Alligator mississippiensis: one gene and its partners. The protein of the gene in region 2 purifies or fractionates together with the protein of the main gene of each other region. This does not show direct contact. Links are inferred from orthologs where the notes say so. Each region holds a gene or a part of one and is shown on either strand. Other genes may lie near its edges.

Region 1 (7,488 bases), on a different chromosome or scaffold from region 2:
GGCCTGATCCCAGCTGAGGGGCAGAGTACAGGAATAACCCTCCTGCCTCCCCCTTCCCCTGGCCATGTGCAGCCCTACCCTGCCCCAGAACTATGCCCCCCTGCTCCAGGCAGGCATAAACAAGAGATTCAAGTTTTTCCACTTTATTAAGAAAGCTTCCTGGGCCCAGCTGGTGCGGAGATCGCTGCATCCGGTTCCCGCCCCCAGAGGCAGCTAGGCTGCATCATCCACAAAAAAACCCTGAGAAGGATGAGCAGGGCCAGGAGCTGCTGGGGGCCAGAAACCCACACCCCGGGCCTGCTCACAGCAGCTCAGCCTGGTGGCACGGGCCGCGCTCCTACCCCCTAGTACTCCTCGGCCATCACAAGCACTACCAGGGCAGACCAGCCAGTGAAGGGGTGGCAACCCTGGCCGCGCCCGGTGCTGTCATTGTACTGCTCCCACAGGTACCCACTGGCCACGTACTGCCGGTACAGGTTGCCCACCAGGTTGGTGCGCAGCTCGTGGTAGATCTGGGCCGCCCGCGCCTGCTGCGGCCCCGGCAGCCCGGCATAGTGGTGCAATGCCCGCAGCGCCAGGTAGTTGATGTTGACCCAGATGGGACCGCGCCAGTACGGTGCGTCGTGCTCCGTGTTGCGCTGCATGTAGAGGGGGCTGGTGGGCGCCAGCGAGCGCAGGCCGAAGGGCGTCCACAACTTGGCCTCGTTGCGCAGGTCGGCCAGCATGGCCCCCAGGCGTGGTGAGTCGGGCTGCAGCAGCTGCAGCAGGAAGGGGAAGAGACTGACGTAGCCCAGCGCCTCCACAAAGCGTGGCCGTGGCGGCTCCCGCACCACCCGCACCAAGCGGGGTGGAGGCAGCTGGTGCCGCGGCTGCCCTGGGGGCACCACCAGGCGCTCGCGCTCCAGCCCCACGGCCCGGCTGTGGTTGCCGTAGTCGGCGAAGGTGCCCAGCTCCGCGGCCCAGTGCTGCTGCTCCAGCAGGGCATTGTCACTTAGTGCCTGCGCCAGGTGCTGGTACTCAGTTGCCGGCTCGCCCAGCCGCTCAGCCACATCAGCCATGACGCTGGAGGCCAGCGTCATCCAGCAGCGCAGGTCCAGGTGCCGCTCGTCGGGCGAGGGGTGTGAGGCGCGCGGGTAGTCATCCAGCCCTGAGGCCAGCGTCTTGGGGTTGAGGAAGAGCTTGGTGTCGGTGTCACGGCCGCGCCAGCGGAAGGTGTAGGGCAGCGGCCCGGCCTGCGTGCGGTTGTACCAGTCGTACCAGGCCTGCAGGCGGGGGAAGAGGCGGCGCAGGTAGGCCGGCTTTGCCTCGCCCTGTGCCAGCAGCTGCTGCAGAGTCAGGAAGAAGGTGGGTGGGTTGGCGACCTCAGGGTGCTGCAGCACGAACTCGGGGGGCACCTTGGCACGTGCCTCATCATCCAGGATCTGCTCGCGCGGGATCCAGCCCTCGGCATTCATGAGGTCCAACCAGTGGGCCAGCACCTCACGGCTCAGCGCTGGGTCCCAGCGTGCCAGCAGCAGCTGGTGGAAGCCCTCATCCCACAGAAAGCCGCGGGGGAAGAAGGAGCGGGAGGGCACGGCCGTGAAGAGCGGCCTCTCGGGGTAGAGCAGTGGCTCCTCGCCCTGCGGCGCCCGCACCAGCGACCGCCCGTGGAAGTAGCCCAGCCCGCCCAGCACATTGCTGAGCGCGGCCCGGGCGAAGGCCTGCTCCGCGGCTGAGAAGCCCTTGTGAGCCAGCCCAAAGGTCTCCTCGAAACGCTGCTCGAAGGCGCTCGCGTGTTTGGCCAGCTCCCGGCTCAGGGTGGTGCCGGCCAGCGGGCTGGGGCGCTCCGCCTCCGTCACGCTGCCCGACTCGAAAAGCACCTCCAGCTGGCAGGGCAGGTGCAGCGTCACCTGGTGCACCAGCAGCTGGGTGCGGGGCGGCTTGGCTGGGTCCCTCGGCGGCCCCCGGTAGGTGTCCAGCCCGAAGTAGCGTTGCCGGGGGCCGCTCGGCGGCGCGTGCACAAACCGGCTGCTCAGGCTGCTCTTCACCACGTCGGCCACGCGGTGCAGCCCTGGGCTCGTGGCCTGCAGGTAGTTATAGCTGCGAGGGAACGGGGCAGCTCAGGGCCGGGCAGTGGAAGCCCACCCCTGCCCTGCCTGCCCCTCCAGGGTGGGCTGAGGCGGGAGCAGCCGCCCAGGTACCTGGCGTGCTGCGAGGCTGTGCCGGCGCCCGAGGGCTTGCGGAAGGTGACGGTGAAGTGGCCCAGCTCCTCCGAGGTGCCGGTCACGGCCGCCAGGCGCGTCTTGTCCTCCACGCGGGGCTGCAGCTCCCCCTGCCCGTCCGTGGCCACGTAGAAGAGGAGGGAGACGAGCGAGGCTGGGGCGCCCGTGTCCTGCTGGGAAAGCGAGGAGGGGCCGTCACCCGGCTGATCCCCACCCACGTGGGCGCCCGGGGGCTCGGAGCGAGGGGCACGGCCCCCCGGCGGAGTGGTCGGACACGTGGGTTCCCTCCCCCGCCCCGCCCCGGCGCCCACCGTGGGCCTGGCCGTGACGCGCCAGCTCCAGTCGCCGCCGTGCCGCCCGCCCGGGCGCTTGACGAAGTCGGTGCGCAGGGCGAGGCCGAAGTCGCGGATCTCCTGCACGCCGAAGCGCAGGCCGTCGTGCAGCAGCCAGCCGTAGCCCGGCAGACGGTCGCTCTGCTCGCACGTGTGCCGCAGCGTCACGTCCGACTCCAGCTGGTGCATCCACATCAGACCTGCGGGGCGGGGCGGGGCGGGGCGGGGCGGGGCGGGGGGGGTGAGCCGCGCGCGTGGACGCGGCTCCCGGCCCCGCCCCGCCCCACGCACCTGCCACGGGCGAGCGCGGGCTCCGCGCCTTCATGCCGAGGTAGAGGTGCGGGCGGTAGGAGCCCCAGAAGCGCGGCGCGGCGGCGCTGGCGTTGTGGCTGTCGGGCAGCGCGCGGGGCGCGGCGAGCGGCGTCACCAGGCGGGCGGCCCGGCTCCAGCGCCCGTAGGCGGCCCCGGCCCACGCGGCGCAGCCCAGCGCCAGCGCGCCCAGCGCCGCCAGCGCCAGCACCCGGCCCGGCCCCGAGCCCGAGCCCGAGCCCCGCGCCCGCTCCGCCGCGCCCCGGCCCCGCTCCCGCTCCCGCCCCGCCGGCCGCGGCCCCTCGGGCCCCCGGCGCCTGCGCTCCCGCGGCATGGCCCGAGCGGCCCCGCTCCGCTCCGCGCACCCCGCCGCCGCGTCGCGCCCTTTCCGCGTCACCGCCCCCAGCAGCCCCCGCGCCAGCCAGCTAGCCACGTGGCGCCCCCGCCGCGGGGCGCGCTGGGACGTGTAGTCCTGCACGCCTGCCTCCCCCCAAATAACAAGCGGCACCGGGCTCCTGCGGGGACACGTTTATTAGCAGTGCCCCCCCGCCCGAGGTCAAGGTCAAGGTCAAGGTGGTCGGGGGAGGGGCCCGGCCCCCCCAGCGAGGCCAGGGGTCGAGAGGCGGCAGTCCCTGGCGCATGGAGCGAGGGAAGGCGGCGAGGAGACGTGTGCGGGGGGGCGAGTCCCGGCTACTCCTTGATCCGTCCCCCGTCGCCCTCGCTCACGAACCGCTTGCGGCCCCTGGGGGAGCAGAGAGGGGCAGAGTCAGGGCCCGAAGCCGCAGCCCCCCCCGCCCAGCGCGCCCCCCTCCCCGCAGACCCGCTGCGTACCGGGCCGGGCAGGCGTCGCGCAGCTGCTTGGTGATGACGCCCTCCTCGAAGCAGAGATCCACCAGCTTCTCCAGGAGGCCGTGGGCCAGCGGCACGTCCAGGCTGATGTCGCCCAGCTCCTCGTACACCCGCTGGAAGCCCTGGAGGGGCAGGACCCCGGTCAGGGCTGCAGCCGGCACCGGGGACTGAGCCTGCCCCGCGCCCCCGCCGCCCCGCTCACCCGGTTCATCTGGTCCAGCGTCACCAGCCCCGTCTCCCACAGCACCTTGAGCAACCGAACCATCATGGCCACGGGCGTCTCCCCGGTGGACTCCAGCACCAGCACCACGGCCTGCGGGGACAGGATGAGACAGGGGGAAGGGGTCAACACCGCCGGGCAACCCACGAGCCTGGGGTCTGAGCGCGGACGCTCTTCTGCCCCTACCTCGTAGACGAGCTCGTGGTGGAAGTGGGGCACCTCGAGCTGGCGCAGGCAGCGCTCGGCCTCCGACACCTCCCCGGACAGCAGGTACTCGCGCAGCAGCAGGCTCATCTGGGGGGACGGACGAGGCGCTGAGGGACGGACGGGCAGACCAGCCCCCTCGGTCCGCCACCGCCCACCCCGGGCACCCGCCTGACCTCCTTGATGAGGTGCTTGACGGGGCGCTGGCCCCCGCCCACGCCCCACACGTTGTCCAGGTGGTTCACGTCCCGCTTGATGCGCAGCAGCACGGCCGCGCGGTCCAGGGCCGCCCTGCGGGGGGGGCACGGGTGAGCAGGGGGGCGGGCAGAGGGAGCGGGACTGGGGACGTGGGGACACACCCGTGCACACGTACCGGGCGTGCTCGCAGTCCACGCGGCCCTTGTAGTGCTCCAGGAAGTCGAGGGGCAGCGCATGGTCGGCCACGGCCCGTGCGATGAACTGGCCCAGCATCTGTGTGGACACGGGTGGGATGGGGGAGCCTGGCCCCTGCCCGGCACCCCAGTGCCTGTCCCCAGCCCGGGCTCCCCGCTCACCTGCGGGGCTTCGGGGGTGTCGAGGATGAGGTCGGGCAGGTCGCGCAGCATGCGGTCGAAGGCGGCGGCGAGGTCGTCGGGGGTCAGCACGCGGCCCACCAGATCAGCCAGCAGACGTGATGTCAGTTCCCGGTGGCTGGCCTTGCCCTCCAGCGCCAGCACCACGGCCAGCGCGGGCACCGCGCCCCGCCGCTCGCCCAGGTTCAGCCCCTGCAGCAGTGCCTGCGCGCACGGCCCCGCCGTCAGCACGGGCACGGCCCTGCCAGGGGAGCCCCCCCCCCCCCACGGGGGTCCCCGGGGACTCACCATGACCTCGCTGGTGTCCCCGTGCTCAAAGTACTCCAGCACCATGGGCTGCACGTTCTTCTCCAGCTCCGCCTCCTCCAGCTCCGGTGTCACCGTGGCGTAGACGGTGTCCCCCTGCGGCACGGGGGCAGGGAGCTCTCAGCCCAGGCACCCCCTGCCCTCCCCAGGAGCTGCTTGCCCCAGCTGGCTGCACCTGACAGCCGGGGGTGGGGGGGGCAGCAGGGAAGGACCGGGGTGCGGGGAGCTACCTGGGCCGACTCGTCATAGTTGGGGTCCCGGGCATCAGGCTCCTGGTAGCTGTACACCACGCCAGGCGCGCCCCACACGCCCTTGCCCCCAGCACCACCTGCCGGAGGGCACAGGGGTCACTGCCGGTCCTGCCAGCCCCCCCCCCATGGCAGAGACCCCTGGCCCGGGACGGAAGAGCCTCAGGCCCCCGCAGCTGCTGGGGACAGGGGACACCAGAGGGCTCGAAGCCAAGGCAGGGACGTGCTGGGACGGCCGCGAGCCCAGCAAGGACCCCCCAGGTCAGCACAATGTGGGGGGGGCTGCTGCGGGGCGGGAGTGTGGGGCACCAGCAGCACAAGTGGGGAGGGGGCGGCGGGGCGGGAGTGCGGGGCCCAGCGGGGGGGTCACGGGCCCTGACCTTTCTTGGGCAGGCCGCGACCTTTGCCCATGCGCGACCGGCGGTCGTGGCCGCGGCCCTTGGGGCTGCCGGGGGGCTCGGGGCCGGGCTCGCCGCCCTCCGACAGGGACTCGCGGGCGGAGTCGCGGGACGACGTGCGCCGCAGCCGCCGCTTGGCCTGGGCTCGCAGCCGCGCCTCGTCCTGCGCCGCCCGCGCCGCCGCGCCCGCCAGCGCCACCTCCAGCGCCTCGTCCTCCCACTCCCCCGGCGCCGTCCCAGCCTGCGGGCGACAGTGGTCAGCAAGGGGTCCCCCAGTGCCCCAGCGCCCCCCTCCTGCCCCGGTCCCCCTGCGCCCCAGTGCCCCCAACTTCCTGCCCCAGCCCCCCTTGTCCCCCACTTCCTGCCCCAGCCCCCCCTGCCCTTCTCGCCGGCCCCGGTCCAGACGCGGGGGGGAGGGGGTGGTACTCGCCGGGGCCGGGGCCGGGGTCGGGGTCGCGGGGGGGGCGGGGAGCGCCGAGGCCGCCATGGCCGCACTGCTGGGCCGAGTTAGGGGGGCGGGGCGGGGCGGCGCGCGGCATGCCGGGAACTGCAGTCCTGGGGCTGCACGTGGGCGGCCCCGGGGCATGCCGGGACGTGTAGTTCTACCCCCCCCCGCCCCGGAGGCGCAGGCGGGCCCCGCACGCGGTGGGTGGCTGGAGCGGGTGCCCGGGAGTCGCGGGCGAGCACGGGCAGGAGCGGGCGGCGATGGCCGGGGCGAGGCAGCAGGGACGCCGCCTTGGCGACCAGGTGCTCGGCGCTGCGGATGCGGGCACGATGCACTGGATTGCAGCCGGGGTTTGATCCGGCTTCCCGCAGCGCAGCACAACGCAGCCGAGCCGGGCGGGCAGAGCCGGCTGCAGCGCCGGGCGCAGAGCGACGTCTGGGTGGCAGCTGGCACCTAGCGGAGCCCCCGGGGCCGCCTTGCTTCACCGCCTTCATCGGCGGCCGGGCAGGTGACCGAGCCCGGCGGGGGAGCGCGGTGCGCTGGACCCCGACACGCCGGAGGACTGGGCTGGCGGGAGCCTCCTGAGGGGGGGGCCAACAAGGACACGTGCAAAGTGCTGCACCGAGGAGGAGCGATCCCCTGCCCCGGGGCAGGCGGGGGCACGGGCTGGGCAGAGCTCTGCAGGAAAGGGCCTGGGGGCGATGGGGGACAAGAAGCTGGACAGGAGCCGGCAGTGTGCCCTTGCGCCAAGAGGGCGACCGGCGTCCCGGGCTGCATCGGCAGGAGCATTGCCGGCAGATGGAGGGCAGTGATCCTTCCCCTATTCAACAGGGGGGAGGCCACATCTGGAGTCCGGTGTCCAGCTGTGCGCCCCACTGCAGAAAGGATGTGGACACGTTGGAGAGAGTGCAGCGGAGAGCAAGGAAAGTGGTTGGGGGCGGGGGGAGAGGCCAAGGGAGCAGGGCTGCTTGAGTCTGCAGAAGAGAAGACGGAGGGGGATTGAACAGCAGCCTCCAACTCCCTGCAGGGGGGCTGCAAAGAGGATGGAGCTGGGCTGGTCTCAGTGGGGGCAGACGGCAGGACAAGGAGCAATGGGCTCAGGCTGCAGCAAGGGAAGTTGAGGCTGGATATGAGGAAAACCTCTCACTAGGAGGGTAGTAAAAGACTGGAACAGGTCACCCAGAGGTGGTGCAGTCTCCATCCTTGGAGGTACGGAAGACCCAGGTAGACAAAGCCCTGGCTGGGATGATGTAGTTGGGGCTGATCCTGCTTGGAGCAGGGGGGTGGCCCCCAGAGGTCCCTTCTGGCTCCACAGCTCTAGGATTGATCCACCCACACCCTCTTTTCTGTCCGTTGATCCTTGTGCTGCAGCCACAAAGCTGCCCGTCTCCATCCTCTGACCCC
Region 2 (7,704 bases):
GCACTTGTATGTAATCTCCAGCCCATGCTAGAGAAGCAGGGATCCAGTTACCGCAGGGACTGGCTCACTGTCCTGAGCAGGGTGATCTGTTCTTACTTTTGAATTTCATGTATTTAAAGTGTTACTGGAGGAGGATGCTAACCGCTCTGGTTCGTGATCCCCTGGCTGTATCTGTCATGCAGCCCTCTGTACATCTGTTAGAACTTATTTCAACACTGGGACCTATTCCAGTGCTTCTCAACCTTTTTTAGACTTGAAACACCTCTCATGAGATTTGAGGCACCCCTTGGAAAATGTCAGCTCTTAGTTTTCACTCGCTTTTTGGCTAAGGAAGAATAATAGAGCGATTCTTCTGTTGCAAATAACTCAGAAAGACCACAACGGGGCAGACTGTTTTTAACCCTATGAATTCCTAGTTGGGTTTATCTTGTGAATGATGTTTATACACCGAGGAGTGGTAACATTGTGAGGCATCCCACAGCACTCTTGAAAGGATCTGGAGGCACCCCAGGGAAAAATGGCATTGAGAGTCACTGACCTATTCCAGCTCAGTACAGCCCTCTCCCCAGACCTTTATCAGCGAATATAGGCAGCCTCCTGACGTAGCCTGTTTTCCCACATTAGCTGCCTTCTCTCACACCTCTTCACTCTGGCATTCTTTAAGCTGATTTAAAAGCTGTGCTTCCTTAGCTATGAAATCAGCTATAATTCTAGTTTATGGCTTTAATTTTCTGCCACAGGGTTCTTGTGTCCTATGTGAATCCATCTCACCTAAGATCCAGCCTCCCCAAAATCAAGGCTTGGCTGGCTGCATAAAAATTGGAATTTTTCTCCTGTGGTTTCACTGGCTGCTCCGTCTCCCCTTCAACAGGGTGAAACAGCCAAGGAAAGGCTAAGAGCTGTCTTCCTGCCACATAACTCTGTAGGGGACAAGAAGAATAACAGTCCATCATGGGCAAGCAAGAAGCAGTAGAGAGAGGCAGAGGGAAAGCAGTTGTGTGTTGGGAGGGGGGTTTGTAGGTCTCTGGGCTCCAGTCGCCTGCTTTGCCCAGGGGACTGGTTTTCTGTCTTGTTACTTAGCAAGGTTGGGTTTTTTTGGCTGAGTTACAAACTCAGGGAAAGGCCTGAAATTCATGGATTGCATACAATCATAAAATGATAGAAACATAGGGTTTAAAGGGACCTCCAGAGGTTATCTAGTCCAACCCTCTGCTCAAGACAGGATTATCCCTATCCAAACTACCCCAGACAAGTACCCTTCCAGACTAGTCCACACAAAATTGTATGTACAACCCTCTTGCCCAGGTATCAGGTACTGTGCCCAGAAACATCAAGGACACTTTAGCTGACCTCAGGTAAAGCAGGGAGATGGGGGTACTGTGCAGTCCTTTGTTAAGTATACTTGAGAGATCCACAGAAGAGAAGCATGCTTCCTGCTCCAGAGGAAGGTTATACCCTGCCTTCCCCCATAGTTCTTGCTGATCAGACCATGGGGCAAAATTCCTTCCTAATCCTAAATATGGTGATTGGTCTGGTACTGAGCAGAGGAGCAAGACCCTTTAGTCAGGAACCTCTGGGTTTAAGTCCCATCAGGACCCCAGACGTTTGCAGCTGCTGGAGGGAAAAATCTTCCTTCCCATCCCTCATATGGCAACTAGCAAAGTTCAGAAATGTGGGAAAACCAAGCACCCTCCATTGAATCACAAGCACAACTACACCCATCCATCGCGCGCTCTAACTACAGAGCCAGAACCCCTCTTTCTGTCATCCTATCCCTCCTATAAACTTGTCCCAGCTTTTCAACCCTGATTTATACATGAGCTGGTTGTGGAGCTCCGCTTCATTCTTCACATTCCACTCTGGATTCCAGAGCTCTTCACATGAGCCTCAAATGAGATGTACGTGTGGATCTCCTGGGCTTCCAGCCGTCGTTCTTCAATGCACACTGCAAGCATTGCTACCCCTAGGACATCCCTGACCAATGCTTATCCAATCTCTTCTTGAAAGCCTCCGATGAAGGAGGCTCCGCAGCTTCCCCAGACAGTCTATTCCACGGCCTCGCTGTTCTAACAGATTTTGCCTGGGCTGAAGAGGGACTTCATCAGTTTGCATCTTGTCATATTGAAGTATTGAGCTGCATGCTTTTAACCTTGGTAAAAGCCCCTCTGCATCGTATTTCTGAGACTAGTTTGCTGCTCTTGTTCTTCTCACTTGTCTGCAGCTTGTGTTTAGCCTCTGTTCGGGCCTGTCTCCAGCGAGGCTTGAATCAGCTTGGTGCCTTTCTAGAAATAAAAAAAAAAGGAAAACATGAATTCAGACTTCAATGTTGATAGATTTGCTGATCTCATTTATGCTGAGCCTTAACTCTAAATACCAGGCCCAGGCTCACATTGTCCTAGGGTGGTGGAATTTTCTCCCTGGTGAGATGCATTTTGCTGACTCATAGTGCTCACTCAAAGCAGATTCATGTTTAAAAAAGAATCCTGTTACCCCACAGGCTACAAGGTCAGATCCAGTTGATAGGACACTCACTCTCTGTTGGGATGAGCTACTAACTACGTTACTGTACTGTAACCAAGAGAGGTGACCAATGAACCAGGTATCTCCACGGTCACTTATCTAGAGCTGGGTCTGCTAGCCAGCGGTATAGCCATAGCAGCACAGACCAAAGGCGGTGTCTGCTCAGAGGAATAAATGATAGGAGCTTGGTTTTCCCATCTGAGATTCCTATTAATCTCTGGCTCATGCTGTCCTTGTTTTACATTATAGCAATGCTACTAATAACTTGTATCATCTTTTACAAAACGTTTACTCTCTCTGTGCCTCAGTTTCCCAATCTGTACAACGGGGACATTGCTTCCCTACTTTACAGGGCTGTTATGAGAATAAGTTTGCAATATACCTGGCATACATAAAGCATTTTACATCTGCAAGGCATCAAAGAATGTTATGAATGACAGAAAACAACACACTGCTTACAGCTTTTTCTATTACGGGGTATATAACAAAACTGATCTAATCGATAAGTGAAAGGGGTTGCTTTACACCAGAGATTGTCATCATTATTTGGCTGATGTGAATGTTCATCGCTATCCTCTACTGGAGAGAATCAGAACTGTTCAGATGCGTGTCAGACCGCACAGACGGCTAACGAACATTTTCCTCAGACTTTATGTTTGTAGGGCAGGAGGGTGGGAATTCTCTCTCGCTGCTGGGGCAGTGAAATCCTAAATGGCTAAATGGCGTGCAGCAAGTGCAACATACACAGGCCAGTATTGCTAACACTCGTGGGTTTCCTAAAATCTCAAGTGATTAGTTTGGAATTTAATTTTTCCTGTAACAATCTAGCCGATATAGTGCAGAGAAGAGCTTGAAACATCCTAAACATGATCAAGAAGCTCAAAAATCAGAAGGTAAATAAATAAACAGAGCATAATATTTATTATTTGTTTTTAACTTTTTTTTTTATGCAAGCAAATATAGAAGCAAAACTCCAACAGTCGAGTAACAGACTTGAATTGCACAAGATTAGAGGTATTATATATTTACAAAATAAATAATATAAAACAATTCTTATACCTTACCTGTATTATAAATAAAATGTTTATATATGTAAATATAACACTCATTAATGTTCAAACAATCTGGAGATGGACACTGGCTTAGTGGCTGTATGGATGTATGTGTGTATACACACACATATATGTGTATATATATGGATATGTACACATATGTGTGTATACATATATACGTATATAGATATGTATACACACATGCATATATATATCTCCATATTACATATATATGCATATATATACAGATGTGTGTACACACGCACACACACACATATTTGTGTGCATGTAGATAGATTGACTGTTAACTAGACAGACAAATAATCTATACAAATTAACTTTCATCACTTTATTATCTAATAAGAAATAAAGCATACCTAGATTATGTTTGGTCTATGTCATAGACCTGCCGTACTGTTTTGGTCCTTGCGTATTTATACATTCTTGCCCTAAAATTAACTTTATTTACCAGGGCCCCTGCTCCCCGCTCATAATTTACCCAGTCCAATCTCTGTCATTTGAATCTCCAAACAATCCTTATTTGCATATTTATAATTTTTAATCTCATGAGGTTTTTGTGGTGTGGACAACTTGATATTTACACTGCCTTGCACAGGATGCCCAATTTTCCTATTTGGCATTAGGACCCGCTTTCTCCGGACAGGAGGTGGCCCTCTCATGGCAGACGCGTGGGGCGGCTTTTTCTCCAGCCTCCCCTATCGAGCCAGCCGTGCCGCCACGAGGAAGCTCGCGAGACGCCTTTCCGAGACGCTGCCCCTTTAAGAGCCCGCCAAACCCTGCAGCAGCACTCCGTTCTTCTCCTCCTCTCCGGCCCCACCCCCCTGCCCGACGCCGAGCCAATCGCGGCCCACTTCCTCCCGGCGGAGCGCCAATCCAGGCGCTCCACGAAGGGCACCGCTGGGCGGGAGGCGGGGGAGGCGGGAGAAGCGACGAGCGACGGCATCGCGAGCCAATAGTGCCCGGAGGAAAGCCCCGGGGCGGGAAGCCGGCGGCCGGGTCGGCCAATGGGGGAGCGGAAGCGCAGAGCGGGGGGCGGAGCCAGTTCGCGCTAGATAGGCGGGCGGCGGCCCGGAGCGCGGCACGTGACGGGGGCGGTGGCGGCGGTCGCTGCTGCTTGGGGGGCGCGAGCCGTGAGGTGAGTGCGTGTCCCCCTCCTTCACCTCCCCCCGGGGCCGCCGGGCGCAGCCTGCGGGGCTGGGACCCCCACGGGGCGGGCGGGAAGGGTCCAGCACCGGTCCCTTCAGGGGCTCGGCCTACTCGGGCCGCTCTGGGCGGCCGGTGCCCTCCTGGGCGCTGCCTGGCACGTGCGCGCGCTCCGTCCCCGCCTGGAGGAGAAAGAAAAAGACTTTCCCCGATTGTGCCGGTTTATTCCCCACCTTTCTCGAGCAGGGGTGCGATGAGCTCGCGCCAAACGGGCTTTTTTCCCGCTTGGATGATGGTGCTCGCGTCGGGGGGAGGCTGCTTCTTACGTCTGCTGTAGAGCTGAGGAAATTTAAAATATTTTTTGTATTATCATCATTATTATTTCTATTATTATTATTCAGCCCGATGTAATAAACCTGACTTGCAAAATCGTGTGTCTGCCCGAGGCTGCGCTGAGCTGCTGGAGTCCAGCCACGAGGCCACTCAGGTTTAGCCAGAGCAGTTATTATCATCACAGTTTGGGGCCCAGCTGTCTCGCCTGCTCGGTGCAGGGGGCTGCACCCAGTGATCTTCCTGGCCTGACGGGTTATGAATTCAAGACACGTGTCTTGTGCGTAAATCCCTCTTCTGTGTTATTTTTTTTTTTTAAGGTTCTTTTAAAACAAAACCATCCCTCAGTCGTTTTCTGCAGAGCTTCTCGTGGAAACGTTGGTATCCAAATCCCGTTCACTGCTGGAGGGTCTGGAATATAGCCAGTGAGACTGATGAGTCTCTATTCATCCTGGATAGGGGAAAACCAATGCAAACTGGTAAAAGGAAGTGGTCAAATTTTAATAGCAGAAGTAGAAAAATCATCTTTTTTTGGAAGCCCTTTCATTAGACAGGTCTCACTTCTATTTAAAAATGATTTGGCTCCTTAAGGGTTGAGTGAAACACAGCCATCTTGGCAGGATGGGCAACTTAACTTTTATTTATTTATTTATTTATTTATTTATTTTTCATACCTCACTTCTTCCTCCTGTTAAATGCCTGTTTTTACCTATTTAAGCTTGATGCTTAAACCAACCCTGTTCTTTGTAAAGGTTTTTATTGCTTTGGAGTACAGGACAAATTAGACTTTGTTTCTAGATGAGATGTCAAGCTTTCTAAATAATCTCTTCACCTTGTAAAAAAAAAAAAAAAAAAAAAAAAAATCTTGCGGGGGTTGAAAGGAGTTTTTTTTGTGTTGCCTTAGCAGTTCCTGTGTGTTAACCATCAAAAAGCCTGCAGTGTTGTCTGTTCTCCAAGGACTTCCAGTTCTGCATGAATGACCTCTTTGCTGACAAACAGCGCAGAATTTTCCTTCGCCGTGCCTATATTGATGCAGCTTATTTTTAGAAGCTGACATGTTTGAAGACTGTTACTAAAAGCAGGTTTTTGCTTGGGTGTTGTATATTATTATAACTAATCTCTTGATTGTCTGAGCCTGTTATAGCAAACATCATAAAGAGTTGGCCCTGTGGGGGTGCTGGTTGAATTTCCTGGGCACAGCTGTAGATAACTAAAGAAGTTTCTGTGAAGTTCATGGAAATGTAGTATCTCTAAATGACGTGGTATTGATTAGCCCCCCTGTCTGCTATAGCCTCTTCTAGGAAAGGTGCCTTGGCTCGTGGTTGAAATTGAAACTTAAAGATTTAACTATATTAGAAGTTGCCATTCTAGGACTGGAAAATTTTGTTCAAAACTGGTGGAAGCAGGGGCTGTATCGGTGGATATATTTACTGTCTGTCCATAATACGATAATTCAAGTACAGAAGGGATGTAAGTAAATAGTGATTATGCTTTAACACTTCCGGATCATTGCTGTTCCTCACAGCTGCCTTTACTGTTGGTTTTGTTTTGTTTGTTTCTTTCCCTGAAGTGAAGTGTATGACTTTGTGTCCTTTGTACAAAATCAGTTGGCTTGAGGGTGTGTTGAGTAGTCTTTAGGAACCCTGGCTGAAGGGTAGGACCCATCTTTCTAGTTGTCCACAAACATACTGTGACAGTCTGTTTAGACCAGAGGTGTCCAACTCCTCTTGTGTCCTGGGCCAGACAGGCCATAGCTATCCCATAGCATGCAGCAACAGTGACGGCTCTGCCCCCCAACCCAGGGTATGCAGTGCAGCTCTGACTGCTGTCACGTGCTGGAGCTGCTGCTTGTGCTGCTACATTGTGCTATGGGGGCAACTCTGGTTCTGGTACGAGACATGCAGTGGCTTGAGCATGGGGCAGTGGCAGGGCCGGCTGAGCCAGTAGGGCTGAATCAGTGGCAATGGGCAAAGCCCTTCTGCCACTGATTGCCATGTCTATAGGGGCCCTTGGCCCTGCCTGCAGCAGGACACTCTATCCCCAACCATCTCCCCCAAAACTTCCAGTGGCTTGCTTGTAGCCTGGCTGGCTTCTTGTATGGCCCTCAGAACTGCTTGATTTGACACCCCTGGTTTAGGCAAAGCGTTAGTGAAAGGTAATGTTATCTTAATTTCCAAATGGAAGAACTTGGAAGACTGTCTTGGTGCACGTCATGCAAATAGTCCACTTAACTGTATGAACACAGGTTTCCACAGTCACGGCCTGATATTGGAACTGTGACATAATCTTTCCCCCTCAAACACTGGTCAGTATCCTCTGCCCACACATTTTGTAATACAGTGGCTGTAGTCCAAACCTTCATTTGGATTAGGCTCTCCTGCTCTTCCGAATTGGTTATTTAGAATAAATGCTTTACTAAATAGGCAAGTATGCTTTAACAAAGCACTACCAACAAATGGCAACCAAACAGTTAGTGGATTATGGTAAATTCTATGGCTTTAATTGCTTTAGGTTATAAGTGATTGTACAGCATTGCATAATTACAGTATGTTCCTTGCCCGGAAGAATCTATGGCTTGATATGTAAGATAAGAGAGACTTGAACAATGCATTGATTCAAGGCAGGGAGCTGAGAATAA
Region 3 (7,414 bases), on a different chromosome or scaffold from region 2:
CTTGGCCAGGACATGCTACTGTGATGGTATAGAGATGGCCTGTTAGTCTCATAGATTCATAGATTCATAGATGTTAGGGTCGGAAGGGACCTCAATAGATCATCGAGTCCGACCCCCTACATAAGCAGGAAAGAGCGCTGGGTCTAGATGACCCCAGCTAGATACTCATCTAACCTCCTCTTGAAAACCCCCAGGGTAGGGGAGAGCACCACCTCCCTTGGGAGCCCGTTCCAGACCTTGGCCTCTTGAACTGTGAAGAAGTTCCTCCTAATGTCCAATCTAAATCTGCTCTCCGCTAGCTTGTGGCCATTGTTTCTTGTAACCCCCGGGGGCACCTTGGTGAATAAATACTCACCAATTCTCAGCCTTAGAGAAAAGGTATCATTCTTATGGATGTAAACTGTGAAGTTGGGTGGGCACTTCCTGCTTTATTTTGCATGCTGAGAGCCTCCATATGTTCTGGAAGATGTTCATAAACTTTCCTCAGTTGTTTTAGTTGGCTCTGGCTAATCACAGACAGTCAAAAGGCCAGTGGCTGAATTGATTCAATCTTCACAGGCTAGTCTAATCTGTGTAGATTGAACTGATAAGCAAGCGAACAAATGTTCACTTTTGATTCTGGAAATGCAGCCACATGCCTGCAGTGGCCCAGGCCAGAAGCCAGAGGGCCTGGGCCACTGGCCCTAAAGCATGCCTCCTTGCTCTGCTGGAAGAGACAGCTTAGGCCAAGGTTAGCTTGCCTTCCCTGCAAGCGGGGGTTTGTAGGGGAGGTGAAAAGCATCCCGGGGAGCTGGGGAACTCTGATTTAACTTGAATTTGGAGAGGATTTGGGACAGAAGTTCAATAAAACAATTTAACCTAAATGAGTTAAGTCATACTAAACTGATGATTTAATTCAGTTAAATCATACTACATCCATCCAAGTTTATCTTAAACTGGTTTCAGCCATTTTGAAAGTGGTTAATGCATACTGAACTTCTGTTGTTACAGATTTGATCCTTTTTCTGATCACTTATACTTGTTTATTTGTAATTTCTGCCCCTAGCCTCTGAGTACGTCCTTCCTATGTTTCAGTCTGAACTGGGTGAATTCCTTTTGACTGGCAAATTCTATTTGTTAATTCTGGGTTTTCCAGTAGCCATTCATGGTATTTTTGTCATTGGGATTTGGGACAATCTAGTGTCTTCTCAGGCATGTAACCTTTTGCAAAGTTCTTCAGTGCAAGATCATTCAAACTATACTTTCACCTTTCTTTCCTTCTCTCATATTTATTTTCAGAGCTTCTACTCTGGGACTTTTAACAGCTCCAATATATCATTCGCGGTATTTTAGCTTGTCTTAGTCCTGGTAGCATAAGATGTTCTGTAATCACTCAGAGCCAAGAGCCTGACAGAAGTGTGCCTCAGTTCTCACTGATCAGAGCCAACACAAAACAAAAAAAATGGTTTCAAATGGCTCTTGGAAAAAACCTTTAAAGGTATAGTTCCCTACACACACAGGGAAAGCTGTTATTTGAATGGAGGCCTACATCCAGCCCCCTTCCCCCCCTCCCTGCCACCGTTTCGGGGCTGGGCCGGGCTGGGCAGGACCCAGTGCCCCTCCCCCCAAAACAGTCAATCGGAATGCAAATAAAGCACGACAGACAGACAGACAGACAGGCTAAGGCTTTTATAATATTAGAATTTCAGCACTGGAAGTTGAATGAGAGGCATAACTGGGAAATGTGATGTAATAAAAAATATGGAAGAAGGTAAGATGTTTTAGTCCTGAATCAAGGTAGATGGAAGATAATGCAGCTATATACGGCTATTGTGTGTTGCAGTAATGGAGTATGAACTACCTGAATTGCATAGCAATGGTCCTAAAATCCGTCCAGTGAGAACAAGCTGTAATGTTGAGGTATCCATTACTACTCACTGAAGGTCAAGATCTCCAGTGTCAGAATCTGTTCCTTCTCTAACCTCAGTAATAACAGATAATGATTTTTAAAGCAGTTAAAAGTTCAGAGGTTTGAAACAACAGACGTGAGATTGTAGCACCAGGACAGGCAGTTTAGAGCTTAAATAGTCTGTTATATAGTACCTCTGTGGTTACTCCTCCTACCCATTTTACCCCTTTCAACTTTGCACTGCCTCTTGCTGCTTGCTTTGACCCCAGGGTGTGGTCTGCAATCCATTTGAGGTCTTGGGTATCTAAGGGTCAGGACTGTAGATATGGTGGCTGTAGCTACTTTCCCCCTAGCAGTCTTTTTCCTTGGTCCGTGTTTCAGGGAGGGATGATTGGTTGAACCTATCAGTTAATTTACAGGTAACATTTACTCCTATGCTGCCATTTGGAAGCTCATCATATTTTCTGCTAATTTATGGTTTAATTTTATTGTTGGCTGCCAGCCAAAAAGCAGTGTCAAAGACTTCTGCAGTCTGGGAAGTGGGTTAGGAGCCATCTGCAGGGGACATAGGGGAAGAGTGGATTCAGTCATGGAAGCCCTCAAGCACTCTAGTGGAAGGGAGAGAATAGAAAATAATTTCAACACTTATTTGCCTTGTCTTATTTTGGGCTTGACATACCTCCAGAAGACCCATGAAGAAGAGATGAATGTTGAAATATGAAGAATAATGGCTTTTGAACCTAAGCTTCATAACAAAATAAACTCCTGATTAAATTCTAACTGTAATTAAAGCAAAAAGCAGAGATGACCAGAGCAGGGTGCAGGGCCCTCCCTCCAGATGCAAGAAAGCTGGTGGCAGATTCGGTTGGGGGGAGGAGGGTCCTAAGCAGCCAGACATGCCAGATTCGGCAGCGGATTTGGTGGTGGCAGGGGGTGTGTGGGGGACAGTGGCAGCGTGGAGTCACTGCTCTGCTGGGCCCCGCAAAGCATGTGACCCAGGGCAGTCACCCTGATTTCCCCCCCCCCCCCCCCCCCCCCCCCCCCCCCCGGACAGCCCTAGCAAAAACACAAGATTTGAACAACCTTAACTATGCCCCAGCATTTGTTAGTAATGTTTCCTTTTCATTAGTTTCCTTCCCTGTTAATCTTTCTCATTAGTTTGAGTGACTAAACATATGTTTGCCTAGTAATGTTGAATCTGCTAGTGTGACAGGAGCAATTCCTGTGTGTATGTAACAGAGTTACAATTTGTGTCAGATCACAAAGATACATAACCCTGTTCTTATGATACTAAGATTACAGCATTATTTTGCTCAGCAAGGAAAAATGCAACTTGGGTGTGTTTCTGTAGTGCGGTGACAGTTGCTAGGAGAAAACGGAAAGGAGAACGAAGGAGTAAATATTAATTTTGCACGCTTGTGAACTGTTTAGAAGCGTTCCTGATTCATAACCATTTGCGTTTGTCCGAAAGGTAGGGTTTCTTATAAAAATGACTGCACACATACGCAGAACTGAGAAATAGCTTTTGTAGTGTATGTACAACTTGTTTTCAAGGAGACCCCCTAGCTCACCCCAGACAGAGGGACATGTGGTTATGTAGGAGTAGAGCTGCAATGCCCAGACTGGCTGGCACTGTGCTGCTAGACTTCCTGGGTGCTACGCCATGCTTTGTCGGGGGACACCATATGCTGGCTGAATGGTGGAAGGAATCGGAGATCTAGAAGTGCTTGGGCAAAGTTAGCCCGCTGGAGTGGTTGTGGGTTTTGCCCCAGCTCAGCCAGCTGCAGAGCAAATGGTCGGTGTGGGCGAGTGGGTTTTGGACTGGGAGGAACAAGCAAGGAAAGGAAGCGCCGGCTTCAAGGCAGGGTCTCCACCCCGCAACCCTCCCGGGGACCCAGCTCAGCGCAGCGGCCCTCACCCCCTCGGCAAGGGCCGACTCCTAGCGGTCCCGCCGGCACTGACTGCAGAGCAGCCCTGCGGCCGCCGACAACCCCAGCAGCTCTCCACAGGGGGTCCCCAGCGTCAGTTCCAGGTTGCTCTGCTGAACCGCAGCCGCCCGGCTCAGTCACCGCCCGGGGAGCCTCCGCCCACGGGCCCCGCTGCCGTGATATAGCGGCGCGGCCGCAGGCGGTACTCCAGTGCTCTCCCCGCCGGGCGCCCCCAGACAGGCAGGAGCCCCGCCCCGCCCCGCCCCCGCCCGCCGGGCCCTGGCGGCCTCCCGAGGGCGGGGCCTCGCCTGCCACTCAGGTTCGGGCCCCGCCCCGCTGGCCGCGCGCCGGGCCGGTTGTAGGCTCGCGCCCCTTGTTGTTGCTCGGAATGTCTGCAGCTGCCGTTGGGGGCGGGGCCGGGGGCGGTGGCCGCCAATCAGGAGCGGCCTCCGCTTCAGTTGCCCGGGGGGGGCCGGGCCCGGCGGCGCGAGGCTGTGTGTCTCAGTTAGGCGGGCGCGCGGGGGCCTCCAGGCGGCGGCCGGTCGCGCGGGGTGGGCCCCGGCTGGGCTGTTGCGGGACGATGGCGCGAGCGGCTCCCGGGTGGCCCCGGGCCCGCCTGTGGCTGGCGGCCGCCCTGCTGCTGCTCCCGGGGGCAGCGGGTGAGTGCTGCGGCCAGGGCTGGAGCGGGGGGGCGGCGCCTTGGGTCCGGCGGCTCCTTTCACCAACATGGCGCGGGGGCCGGGCCGGGCGCTGGCCGCGGGGGAGGTCTATGCTGGCCAGAGCCCGCGGCCTCGTCCCATTGTTGGCCGGGCCGGTGCGGGCTGGGCCGGGCCGGGCCGGGGGGCGGGTCCTGCGGGGGCGGGGCCGGTGGGGCTCCGCTAGTGTCCGCAACCGCAGCGCCGGCGCCTCCGTGCGGGATCGGGCCGGGCCGGGGCAGGCAGGAGCTGTGGCAGGGGCCAAGGGCCGGCCGGGGTGGGGGCGCGCAGCCGCGGCCGTTGTGCTCCGAGTGCGGGGCTGTCCGCGGAGCGGAGCCAAATGCAGCCCGCCGAGCCCGGGCACTCGTTCCGGGCCCCGCGCGCCGCTCGTCTCTCTGCCCTGGAGTTCCCCTGGGGGTAGAAAGTAACTTCGTAGCTCTAGCTCTTGTTCTTGCTCTCTCTTTAACCTGGGGAAACTTCATGACTTCCTTCTTTTGGTTTTTTGTGTATGTGTGTCTCGAGCGCTTTGTGCGAGCCGGAGGCCTCCCTCGCAGTCTGTGTTTTCATCTGGTAAACCTTACGGTTTCCTCACTGAGCCAGAGTCTCACTTTACGCTGAAGCTTGTGCAGCAATAAATGACATAACTAGATCCTGTCTGAAGCTGTCTTGTTCTCATAACTAAAGTTGTTTTGACGAGATGAAGCAGGTATTTTTTTAAAGGGGGGGGCGGGGATGACAAACAATGAAGTAAGAGTGGAGTGAAATACCTGGTTGCTGCTCACTGTCTCAGGCTTGCTACAGGTTTTGAGTAGCTTAACCTTCGGAGCACAGTATCCTTCTGACTTGCGTGGTATGGAGAAAATCTTACGCTGGTGGGGTAATGCTTAGGAAAATCATGTCTAACATTTCTTTTGCTGAACCAGGCAGATTTTGTAAGAGCTGGGGTGTGATGAGGTATAGTGGGACTGGGAGGAATGGGTTATAGTGGGACTGGCTTCCATAACATCTTTGTGTGCTGCACATTTGAAAAGATATAGTGCTCCTTGAAAGCATTTTTACAGATATTTTTCTGAAAAGTGCTGGTACCAGGTTGAATCTGCTTATGATAAGTTAGGACTGATACCTTATCATAAGCAGATTCAACCTGGTACCAGCCCTTATAAAAATCCTACGCTACGCTGAACTGTTAACTGAATTGCCAGTCTGCTTGTATGACAGCCCAAGGGCCACATGCAGCCTCTGAAGAGTAGATACATAGTCCTCAGGCTCCCACCCTTGGGCTCCCTGTTTGCCAGGTTGCTCTGGCTCTTCCCTGCTCTCTCCCCCTTCTGGCTGCTGCCTCCTGCCTTCATCCTAGGGGTATGGCAGTGTGGGGAGCTGAGGGTCAGCTCAGGGTTCAGGGGAGGGAGGGAAGAGTTGGGGATTGCACTTGAGTGGTGCAGAAGGAAGAGGAGGGGGATGTGCATGTTGACGTGGGAAGCAGGTTGCACCCACGTGGCTCAGTAGTTGAAGGGGGCGGGAACTTCTGCATAATATACCTGGTCTGGCCCCCGGGGACCTAGAAGTTGGACAGCCCTGGCACAGGTTGTCCTACATTTATGTAAAACAAAATAATAATTTTGTCTTAACATTCAGTGTCTGTCATTGGATGCCCTTTGTGATAATCAGGGATCCTGGTTTTCCCTGACAAAAAAATCATAAATTCTCCAATAACCCCCTCACCCCCCCCATCCATTATTAAAAAGAAAGCCCATCCCCATCCTCCCTGGCCCTGCTGGTGCCCCCCACCCCCAGCTCCTGCTCCCCCAGCTCTGCTGGAGGCGGGCCCCCAGCTGCCAGAGCTATGGAGCCAGGGACTCGGGTCCACAGCCCTCTGCCCCTTGCAGCAGGTAGTAGTTGTTGCAGTGGAGCGGAGCCTGGTGCACACCTGCTGCCTGCTTGCTTCAGATTTGTGCAGGGGGGGCAGATCCCTGCCACAGTGTGCACTCTGGAGAGGCAGGGGGGGACCCATGGGGCCAGGGCTGCATGCTATGGGCACCCATCCTGCTCCCCTCCCCTGGGACATCTGCAGCCTGGCACATGCGACCTGGCACTGCAAAGAACAGCAAGGCCACTCAGGAAAGCTGCTTGCCACTGCGAGTGCTGTACTGCCCTGGCAATGCATCCTCTGTGCGCAACCCCACGCCGCCACCCCCGCTGCATCCACGTGTACAGGGGACCGCGTTGCCAGGGCAGTGCAGAGCTCGTAACCACAAGCAGCTTTCCTGTGCAGGCTTGCTGTTCTTTGCAGCACCAGGTTGCAGAAGCCCCAGGAGAGGTCATAGGTGCGGAAACCCGCAGCAGGCAGCATGCAGCCCCCACCCTCCACATAGTTCTAGGGGGCACAGGTCCCTCCTGCTCTCCAGGACGGCACACTGCAGTGAGGAGCAGGGACCACCCCCCCCCCCCAGACAGATCTGGTGGGCATGGGTCCCCCTACCCCCCGGGAGTGCATACAGCAGCAGGAAGCTGCCTGCTGGGTGAGCTGCCCGCGGCCCTATTCCGCTCCCTGCCAGGGCTCTGTGGCCGTGCATTACAGCTCCAGGCCCCAAGCCCCAGGTGCTGCCTAGCTGGGCAGCAGCCCCTGCCTTGCTTAACTCCCTCCCTTCTTCCATTTGGGACCATCAATGCTTCCTCCCCCCCACTTACCTGTGGGAGCTGTTCTCCAGGCTGCCTCATGGCCATACGTATATGTATGCACATGGATACCCTGCCTGGCCACCCTCCTCCCGCTCCCCCCAGTCCCTTGCAGGCTGAAAACTTGCCAGCCTGCAGGGAGCTCTTTGCAACACAGCAAAATCTTCAGGTTTCTCCTGTAAAATGAGAAATCTTTGTTTGCCTCTGGTAAAAAGTAAAATCCACAG
Region 4 (7,823 bases), on a different chromosome or scaffold from region 2:
GGGCTCAATAATAGCTCAGTCCTTGAGCCCACCCCGGTAAGTGGTGGTGCAGAGTCACTTGGAGGAACTGGATTCCTTTAAGTTGGCAGGCCTGGATGAGCTCCATCTGAGGGTACTGAAGGCACTGGCCGACGTCACTGCGCAGCCACTGGCGGGAATATTCGAACGCTCATGGTGCACGGGCCAAGTCCCGGAGGACTTCATTTTCAAGAAGGGGAGGAAGGAGGACCCAGGCAACTATAGGCCAGTCAGTCTCACCTCCATCCTTGGCAAAGTCTTTGAAAAAATTATCAAGGCTCACATTTGCGAGAGCCTGGCAGGACAAATTATGCTGAGGGGAAACCAGCACGGATTCGTAGCAGGTAGATTATGCTTGACTAATCTAGTCTCTTTTTATGACCAGGTTACAAAACGCCTGGACGCAGGAGTAGGGGTGGATGTCGTATACTTAGACTTCAGGAAGGCCTTCGATATGGTATCCCACCCCATACTGGTGAACAAGTTAAGAGGCTGTGACTTGGACGACTACACAGTCCGGTGGGTGGCGAATTGGCTAGAGGGTCACACCCAGAGAGTCATAGTGGATGGGTCGGTTTTGACCTGGAAGGGTGTGGGCAGTGGGGTCCCGCAGGACTCGGTCCTTGGACCAATACTCTTCAAAGTCTTCATCAGCGACTTGGACGAGGGAGTGAAGTGTACTGCGTCCAAGTTTGCGGATGACACAAAACTGTGGGGAGAAGTGGATAGGCCGGAGAGCAGGGAACAGCTACAAGCAGACTTGGACAGGTTGGACAAATGGGCAGAAAACAACAGAATGCAATTCAACAAGGAGAAATGCAAAGTGCTGCACCTAGGGAGGAAAAATGTCCAGCATATCTACTGCCTAGGAAATGACCTGCTTGGTGGCATGGAAGCGGAAAGGGATCTTGGAGTCCTAGTGGACTCCAAGATGAACATGAGTCGGCAGTGTGACGAAGCCATCAGAAAAGCCAATGGCACTTTATCATGCATCAGCAGATGCATGACGAATAGATCCAAGGAGGTAATACTTCCCCTCTATCGGGCGCTGGTCAGACCGCAGTTGGAGTACTGCGTGCAATTCTGGGCACCGCACTTCAAGAGAGATGTGGATAACCTGGAGAGGGTCCAGAGAAGGGCCACTCATATGGTTAAGGGCCTGCAGACCAAGCCCTACGAGGAGAGACTAGAGAAACTGGACCTTTTTAGCCTCCGCAAGAGAAGGTTGAGAGGCGACCTTGTGGCTGCCTATAAGTTCATCACGGGGGCACAGAAGGGAATTGGTGAGGTTTTATTCACCAAGGTTTACAAGAAATAATGGCCACAAGCTAGCAGAGAGCAGATTTAGACTAGACATTAGGAAGAACTTCTTCACAGTTCGAGTGGCCAAGATCTGGAACGGGCTCCCAAGGGAGGTGGTGCTCTCCCCTACCCTGGGGGTCTTCAAGAGGAGGTTAGATAGGCATCTAGCTGGGGTCATCTAGACCCAGCACTCTTTCCTGCCTATGCAGGGGGTCGGACTTGATGGTCTATTGAGGTCCCTTCCGACCCTAACATCTATGAATCTATGAAAGTGCTCCGGGCACAGGCACTAATGTGACCTCCAAAACCACCCCTTACAGTCCCAGTCCAAACCACCAGTATGAACAGCAACATAAACGTGAACCCGTGGGCTATAACATAATAATAACAACAGAAACAGCCCTCTGCCCCTTTAAGAGAGCAAACCTTTACCCTTAGTATAGCATGCCTCCCTACCAGGGTATCTTGTGAGCTCTTGGGGCCTCACTACTGCTGTAGGCAGCAAAACAGGCAGTCAAGAATCCCTAGGTATCCCTCCTAGGTAGGAGCTCCTTCCCCAGCAGCTACCAAGGAGAGACTCCCCTGCCAACCCCAGCCTTGGGCTTATATCAGGGGTGGGCAAAATGTGGCCCGCAGGCCAGAAATGGCCCACCAAGCCATTCTACCCAGTCCACAGAGCCCCTAAAAAATTTAGAAAATTCATATTAATCTGCCCTGGGATGCCTATCATGAAGCCCTCAATGGGTTGCCAAAACTCAGTAAACAGCCCTCCACCCACAATAATTGTCCACCCCTAGCTTATATGCTCCCTGGGCTCTGCCTCCATATGGTCAGCTGACCACTTGCAGGTGTCTGCTAACTGCCTCATTTGCCCGGTTGCCCTGGCAACTGGCAGCTGCTGTGCCCTGCCTGGCTGGGCTGCCTTTATCTTAAAGTAACAGAGGCCAGGCTCTCTGTTACAGGGCTGTTTTGGATTCTGCCCCTGTTGCCAGTTTGCAAATGTAGCTCATGTATTTGGTCCAGAGGAAAAGTAGGACGTCTGCCATTCCTCTGCCTCCAGACCATTTCACTTTGTATAGCTTGGTCCTTGCTACTTTCTCCCAGGTGGAGTGCTAAAAGAAAACACAAATGGCTCTTTGGATTCTGCAGATGACTTGCTCTGAGGTGGGGAAGATTGTAGCGCTGTATAGGAGCATAAGCAGAAGCACCGCTTTCATCAGCACCACTCCCCACTGCCCCGCACTGGCAGGCAGCACAATTGCCATAGTCCCAGCTTCTGTTTGGCTTTGGACTCTATCTTTTCCCATACCCTGTCCCATCAGCTCTGGGTCAAACTCCACCCCAAGGATCTTTACCCCCTCGCGGGGGACGGAGACCCCTAGGTGTGGCAGGTCCTCCAGGTTGCCCAGGACTAGGCAGGTGCTTTGTTTCATGTTGAGCTTGGCCCCTGCTGCTACTCCATATACCATTGCGCAGATAAAAAGGATTGGGAAGAGTGGGCAGCCCTGCCTCACATCTGACTACACCACAATCGGAGCTGTCAGGGACCCGTTCACCAGTATCCTGCTGCTCACATTGGTGTAAAGTGCCTTTATTCAGGTGACAAAGGTTGCAGGGACCCCCATCTTCTCAGCATCTTCAGTAGGAAGCAATGAGATACCTGGTCGTAGGCCTTCTCCAAATCAAGGTTCAGCATCCCGATATTCTGTCACCTCTCCCATTGGTACTGTAGCACACCTTGCAGCTGCATCAGGACTTTGTGGATCTGTCACCCCAGCACCATGCAAGCCTGGTCCTCATGGATCACTGCACCTATAACAGAATTAAAACACTCAGCCAACACTTTGGCCATTAGTTTGTAGCCAAGGTTCAGGAGCATAAATGGACCCCAGTTTTGAAGGTCTCACCTCTCCCCCTTCTTGTAAATAAGGATTATGAGGCCCTCGTTCATCTCCGCTCCTAGGTGACCGTCCTGCAGGAGCTCCCTATAGACCTCCAGCAGGTTCGGATCCACCTGGTCCCAGAAAGCAATATAGAACTCCTTGGGCAAGCCCCAGGAGTCTTACTGTCCCAGAAGCTGCAGAGCATCATGTTGATCTCCTCCAGTGTCCACTCCTCCCCCAGCTTCTGTCCCTTGTCCTCCCCAAGAACCTGCATGAGTTTCTGCAGGCAGTTCTGCATTGCCCCAGGGCTCTGCAGTCATGCCATGTAGATTCCAGAAACCACCATCTCCAGCAACTCCTCATTTTACTGGTGCTCCACCCCAGCTCTGTCTATCAGGCTGGTCATTGGTCCTTTCTTATTTTCCTTTATCTTGCTAAAATAAACAGACCACTCTTCCCCCTCTTCCACCCAGGTGACCTGGGCCCTGTGCCAGGCCTAGGGTGGCCATCATAGAGGACAGTCCGGTTGTCCTCTATCCTCTGTTGATATGAAACGGGATACCTTTATGTCCTCTATTTTTCTCTTCAAGAGAACTGTGTCATCAAAGTTGAAATATTTCTTTATGTTGAGCAACAGCAACAGCAACTGTCACAGTCAGATGAACGAAGGGCTCAAAGCTTGTAACCAGAGCTAGAACCAAAGGGACAGTGTGACTATAACCAGAAAAGGGTTATGGATGGGAGTGTAGTGCCATTACTGTAGCAGGTGCGTGGATGTGAGATTTTGTGGTACAGCCATGATGTTTTGAGACTGTTTGGGGTAGGGAAGCCAGTGGGCAGTTGCATGGGGTCGTGGGTCCTTCAGTGTATGTATTGTAATAGGTTTATAGGTTTTGTTGGGTGAGTTAAGGTATGGGAAGAAAAGTGTATTAGAAAGTGTATGCGTATACATGTGTGTGTGTGTGTGTATATATATATTAACAAAAAAAAAGGTTTTGAAAATGAGTTAAGGTTTGTGAAGAATGTATGCTAGATGGTGTGTGTATGTATGTATGTGTATATATATATGTGTGTGTGTAGGGACATATTTTTCCAAAAACAAACGAACAAAATCTTTATGTTGAGGCAAGCAGTCATAAAAAAGTGGTGACAGCAAACCCCCAAGTCGGTTAAGACTCTGAGACTGACTTAGGTTTTGCCCTGCTGCATCAACGAGCTGCCTTACTATTGTCCACTTGAGCACGCTCACCACGATCGATCACCCATTGTACTAGGGGGGACAGGATCCTACAACATGGTCGCTCTTGTCCACCCGGCAACAGCGGCGGGCTCCGGGCCCTGGCAGGCTCCAGCCCCCGCGCGCTCTCACCGACACCCGGAGCCCGCCCAAAGGCCAAGCCGGGGAGGCAGGATCCGCCCCTGAGCGGGGAAAGGAGGCGAGGAAGAGGAGGAGCTCTGCGCACCCTGCTCCGCGCCGGGCTGGGGCAGGCCTTGGCTACCCCGCCCTCTCCCAGTCTGCCCCGGGCGCCCGGTCCCGGTCCGTCCCGTCCTGTCCCGCCCCCGGGCTCTCGGCGCCGGGCGGCGCGGCCGGGATGCGGCGCGTGGCGCGGGTGGCGCTGCTGTGCCTGGGCTGCGGCTTGTGCTCGCTGCTCTACGGCTTCAGCCAGCTGGCGCTGCCCGCCGAGCCCGGGCCCGGCGCCGGGCGGGGGAAGCCGCGCGGGCCGGACGCAGCGGCGCGGAGGCGGGGCGCGGGCGGCCCCGGGCGGGCGGTGGCTCGGGCAGGCCGTGGCGCCCACGCCTTGCCGCCGCCTCACAGGTACTGCCGGGCCCCGGGCTGAGGCTGGGGGGACTGCCGCGCCTTCGGGACCCGCGGGCCGGCGCCTGGGCCCGCCCTCGGGCGAAGCGCCTCGGTGCCCGCGGGCCGGGCCGCCGCCCCGCCGGCTCAGCCTGGTGCCCCTGCGCGGCCTGGCTTGGCCTGGCCTGATCCGGCCCCTGCCGAGCCCCCCTCTCTCTCTCTCTCAGCCTCGGGGACCGAAGCAGTGGAGGGGGGTGGGGGACACTGCTCAGGGCAGAGGGGAGGCCTCGTGGTATTCGGCTCAGCTTAGTTGGATCAAAGGTGTCAGGAGGGCTTGGCACAGGAGAAGGGAGCCTAGGACACAAGGTGCCAGAGGCCCAGATCTGCCAGGTCTAAAAACCCAGAGGTGGTGGCAGTGGGGAGCAGAAGCTGCTGAGACCTGCAGTGCAGGGGCTGCTTCATTCTTTTGATGAATGGGGTAGCCCTGAATCGGAGGCATCAAAGGTAGGTTGCGGCCGCATCTGCCCGAGGAGTCCTGCAATCCAGCCCGTGCAGCACACGGAGCCCATCTGGTGTATGGGGATTCAGTCGGGTGTGCTGCATGCAGCCCCTGCGCCAGACTGGTCCTGAGCACTGGCTCTGGGGCTGGTGTGGATCCAGCTGTGCCAGCGCTAGTACGTGGGGCTGGTGCAGTGGGACTCTGCAGGTAGAGTGTGCCCCGCGTGCCATTTGTGGCACGTGTGGCTGTCCCAACCTTGCTAGCTGTGAGGCATGTGCTGGCCCCACTCCAGCTCTTGTTACTTGTAGATGCAGGTGACTACTACCAGTCCAAGTTTTGAAAGTCTCTAGGTAATTTTTGAAAACAGGACCTTAATTTAGACATTTCTGAAAAAAATGATCTGAAATCTGAATTTGTGGAACATCTTCTTCAGGAGTGAGCTAACTCTTCTGTATAGGAAATCTCTTTTATAAAGGAAATGTCATGGTTAAAACCAAAGGTACTGGGCTGTAGCTAGCGCAGAGCAGGTCACGGGAAGGCTAGAAAAATGTGGTGACTGGTATCTAAAAAGTTAAATTTTCTGTGACTTTATGTCAAGGGATTGTTGCCTTCAGCCCTGAGATTGTGTTAGAGCAGGGGTGGGCAAAATGCAGCCCCGGGGGCTGGATGTGGCTCACCAGGCCATTCTATCTGGCCTGCAGGGCCCCTAAAAAAATTAGAAAATTAATATTTATTTGCCCCTGGCTGCCTGTCATGCGGCCCTCAATGGCTTCCCAAAACTCAGTAAGTGGCCCTCTGCCCACAATAATTGACCATCCAGAAAAGACAGATTCACAGGTGAACTGGGCTTCTAGTTATATTTATTCAGGTGTACAGCAGCTGAACATAAAGTAGCTACAGTTTCCTGTTGTAATTAAGGTATATTTAACTAAAATGAAAGAAATCCTTAATGCCTCTCAATTCAGAAATAGCAAACTTAGTTACAAGCTAGTGCAAGTTAGCCTCTCTCCTCCTCACTTCAGTGGTTTGATGAGGAAAGAGAGTTCCAGTTGTACTCTAGAAGTTTTCAGAAAGAGGTTCAAATAGGCTAGTTATAAATTGCTTTCAGAGGACTTTGGTGGGAAAAAATGGTCAAGCAGATAATTAAAATCTTAAAAACCTCAGCAAAAAAGAAAGGGAAAAGTCTTATCCTGGGTAGTCAGGTTTTTTTTCTTTTTTGAAAATCAAGTAGGGTGTTTACTTAAGTGAAACCACTCTACTGAAATGGAAACATTCTCTTAAAGATAAGATTGGATAAGTACTCTGTGAAGCACTACAGGGTAGATAAAGGTAGGGCCAACCTTAACACCTGATCAGACCCACATAATCATTTGCCACTAAGTCTTGCAGCTTACCCTCGCTACAAAATTTACATAATTTTAGTCCCCTGTTATCAGACTGGATGCATGCAGTTGTGGGTTGATGAGAATATACACAAAGTCTGCAAATGAGTTAACCATTTGTCCTTTCTCAGGCTATCATCAGGTGTACGTTTATACCAGGAGAAACAACTTTCTTTTAGGGATGCATCAATAAAGATTTTCTTGGCTAATACTGATGGCTGATTATTAACTGGCCATATCAGCTGATACTGATCCAATAGCTAATTTACAGGAATGTAGCTCGACAGCTTGGAGCAACCAGGTGGTAAATCGGGGGAGGTGGGGGGGGTAGATTGAGGCCCCCACAGTGAGGGATGGAGTGGGGCAGGGGCAAGTGCTACCCAACCAGGGCAGTGAATGCAACTCCACTGGGAGCAGTATGGAACTGTGGGAGGCTCATCCAGGGTGCACGCTGTGCGCACCCCTGGCATAGCCATGGGGGGCATGTACCCCTCTCCCCCAGATTTGTGGGTGGGGTGAGGGTGGGCTGCCTGCTGTGGGCTTGGGGCCAGGGGCTGTACCAGTCCTTTCCCGGCCATGGGGCTGGGCTTGGGGCAGGTGGTGGTAGCACTAGGAGGGGTGGCTACAGCGGATTTTGGGGTGGCTATAGCCCACTCTGTAGCTACCCCTCCCAGCGCTGCTGCCTGCCCAGCCCTGGCCTAGCCCCCTTGTCGGGAAGAGGCTGGCACTGCCCCTGGCCCCAAGTCCACAGCGGGCAGCCTGCCCTTGGCCTGCACACAAATCCTGGGGTGCACATGCCCCCCATGCCTCCCCCAGGGGTGTGCCCAGTGGTAGGGAGCTGACCCCTCTCCCCACCTCCTTCCCATGCCCCCTGGACAAGCCGCCTGTGGCTCCATCCCACTCCCAGCAAGGTTGCATTCTCCGCCTTGGCTGGGCACTATCTG

The links.
Region 1: the proteins of CANX (region 2) and MOGS purify together in Homo sapiens (affinity purification with mass spectrometry; 3 studies listed by BioGRID and IntAct, with this or other methods). This does not show direct contact. The link is inferred for Alligator mississippiensis from reciprocal best matches to the Homo sapiens genes CANX and MOGS.
Region 3: the proteins of CANX (region 2) and TGFBR1 purify together in Homo sapiens (affinity purification with mass spectrometry; 3 studies listed by BioGRID and IntAct, with this or other methods). This does not show direct contact. The link is inferred for Alligator mississippiensis from reciprocal best matches to the Homo sapiens genes CANX and TGFBR1.
Region 4: the proteins of CANX (region 2) and GXYLT1 purify together in Homo sapiens (affinity purification with mass spectrometry; 3 studies listed by BioGRID and IntAct, counting the BioPlex papers as one, with this or other methods). This does not show direct contact. The link is inferred for Alligator mississippiensis from reciprocal best matches to the Homo sapiens genes CANX and GXYLT1.

The regions. Positions count from the first base shown.
Region 1 is NC_081825.1:588,618-596,105, reverse strand, and holds MOGS (mannosyl-oligosaccharide glucosidase), read right to left. Parts: upstream 3,254-7,488; 5' UTR 3,177-3,253; coding exon 2,825-3,176; intron 2,734-2,824; coding exon 2,513-2,733; intron 2,375-2,512; coding exon 2,181-2,374; intron 2,080-2,180; coding exon 345-2,079; 3' UTR 128-344; downstream 1-127. Other genes in the region: transcription factor LBX2, read right to left, coding at 3,533-3,584, 3,674-3,813, 3,894-4,004, 4,098-4,205, 4,292-4,406, 4,489-4,586, 4,670-4,891, 4,976-5,089 and 2 more. UniProt on the Homo sapiens protein: In the context of N-glycan degradation, cleaves the distal alpha 1,2-linked glucose residue from the Glc(3)Man(9)GlcNAc(2) oligosaccharide precursor in a highly specific manner.
Region 2 is NC_081832.1:74,510,954-74,518,657, forward strand, and holds the start of CANX (calnexin), read left to right. Parts: upstream 1-4,631; 5' UTR 4,632-4,728; intron 4,729-5,171; exon of another isoform or gene 5,172-5,346; intron 5,347-7,704. UniProt on the Homo sapiens protein: Calcium-binding protein that interacts with newly synthesized monoglucosylated glycoproteins in the endoplasmic reticulum. It may act in assisting protein assembly and/or in the retention within the ER of unassembled protein subunits.
Region 3 is NC_081828.1:81,069,748-81,077,161, forward strand, and holds the start of TGFBR1 (TGF-beta receptor type-1), read left to right. Parts: upstream 1-4,300; 5' UTR 4,301-4,396; coding exon 4,397-4,475; intron 4,476-7,414. UniProt on the Homo sapiens protein: Transmembrane serine/threonine kinase forming with the TGF-beta type II serine/threonine kinase receptor, TGFBR2, the non-promiscuous receptor for the TGF-beta cytokines TGFB1, TGFB2 and TGFB3.
Region 4 is NC_081827.1:57,947,728-57,955,550, reverse strand, and holds the start of GXYLT1 (glucoside xylosyltransferase 1), read left to right. Parts: upstream 1-4,689; 5' UTR 4,690-4,795; coding exon 4,796-5,019; intron 5,020-7,823. UniProt on the Homo sapiens protein: Glycosyltransferase which elongates the O-linked glucose attached to EGF-like repeats in the extracellular domain of Notch proteins by catalyzing the addition of xylose.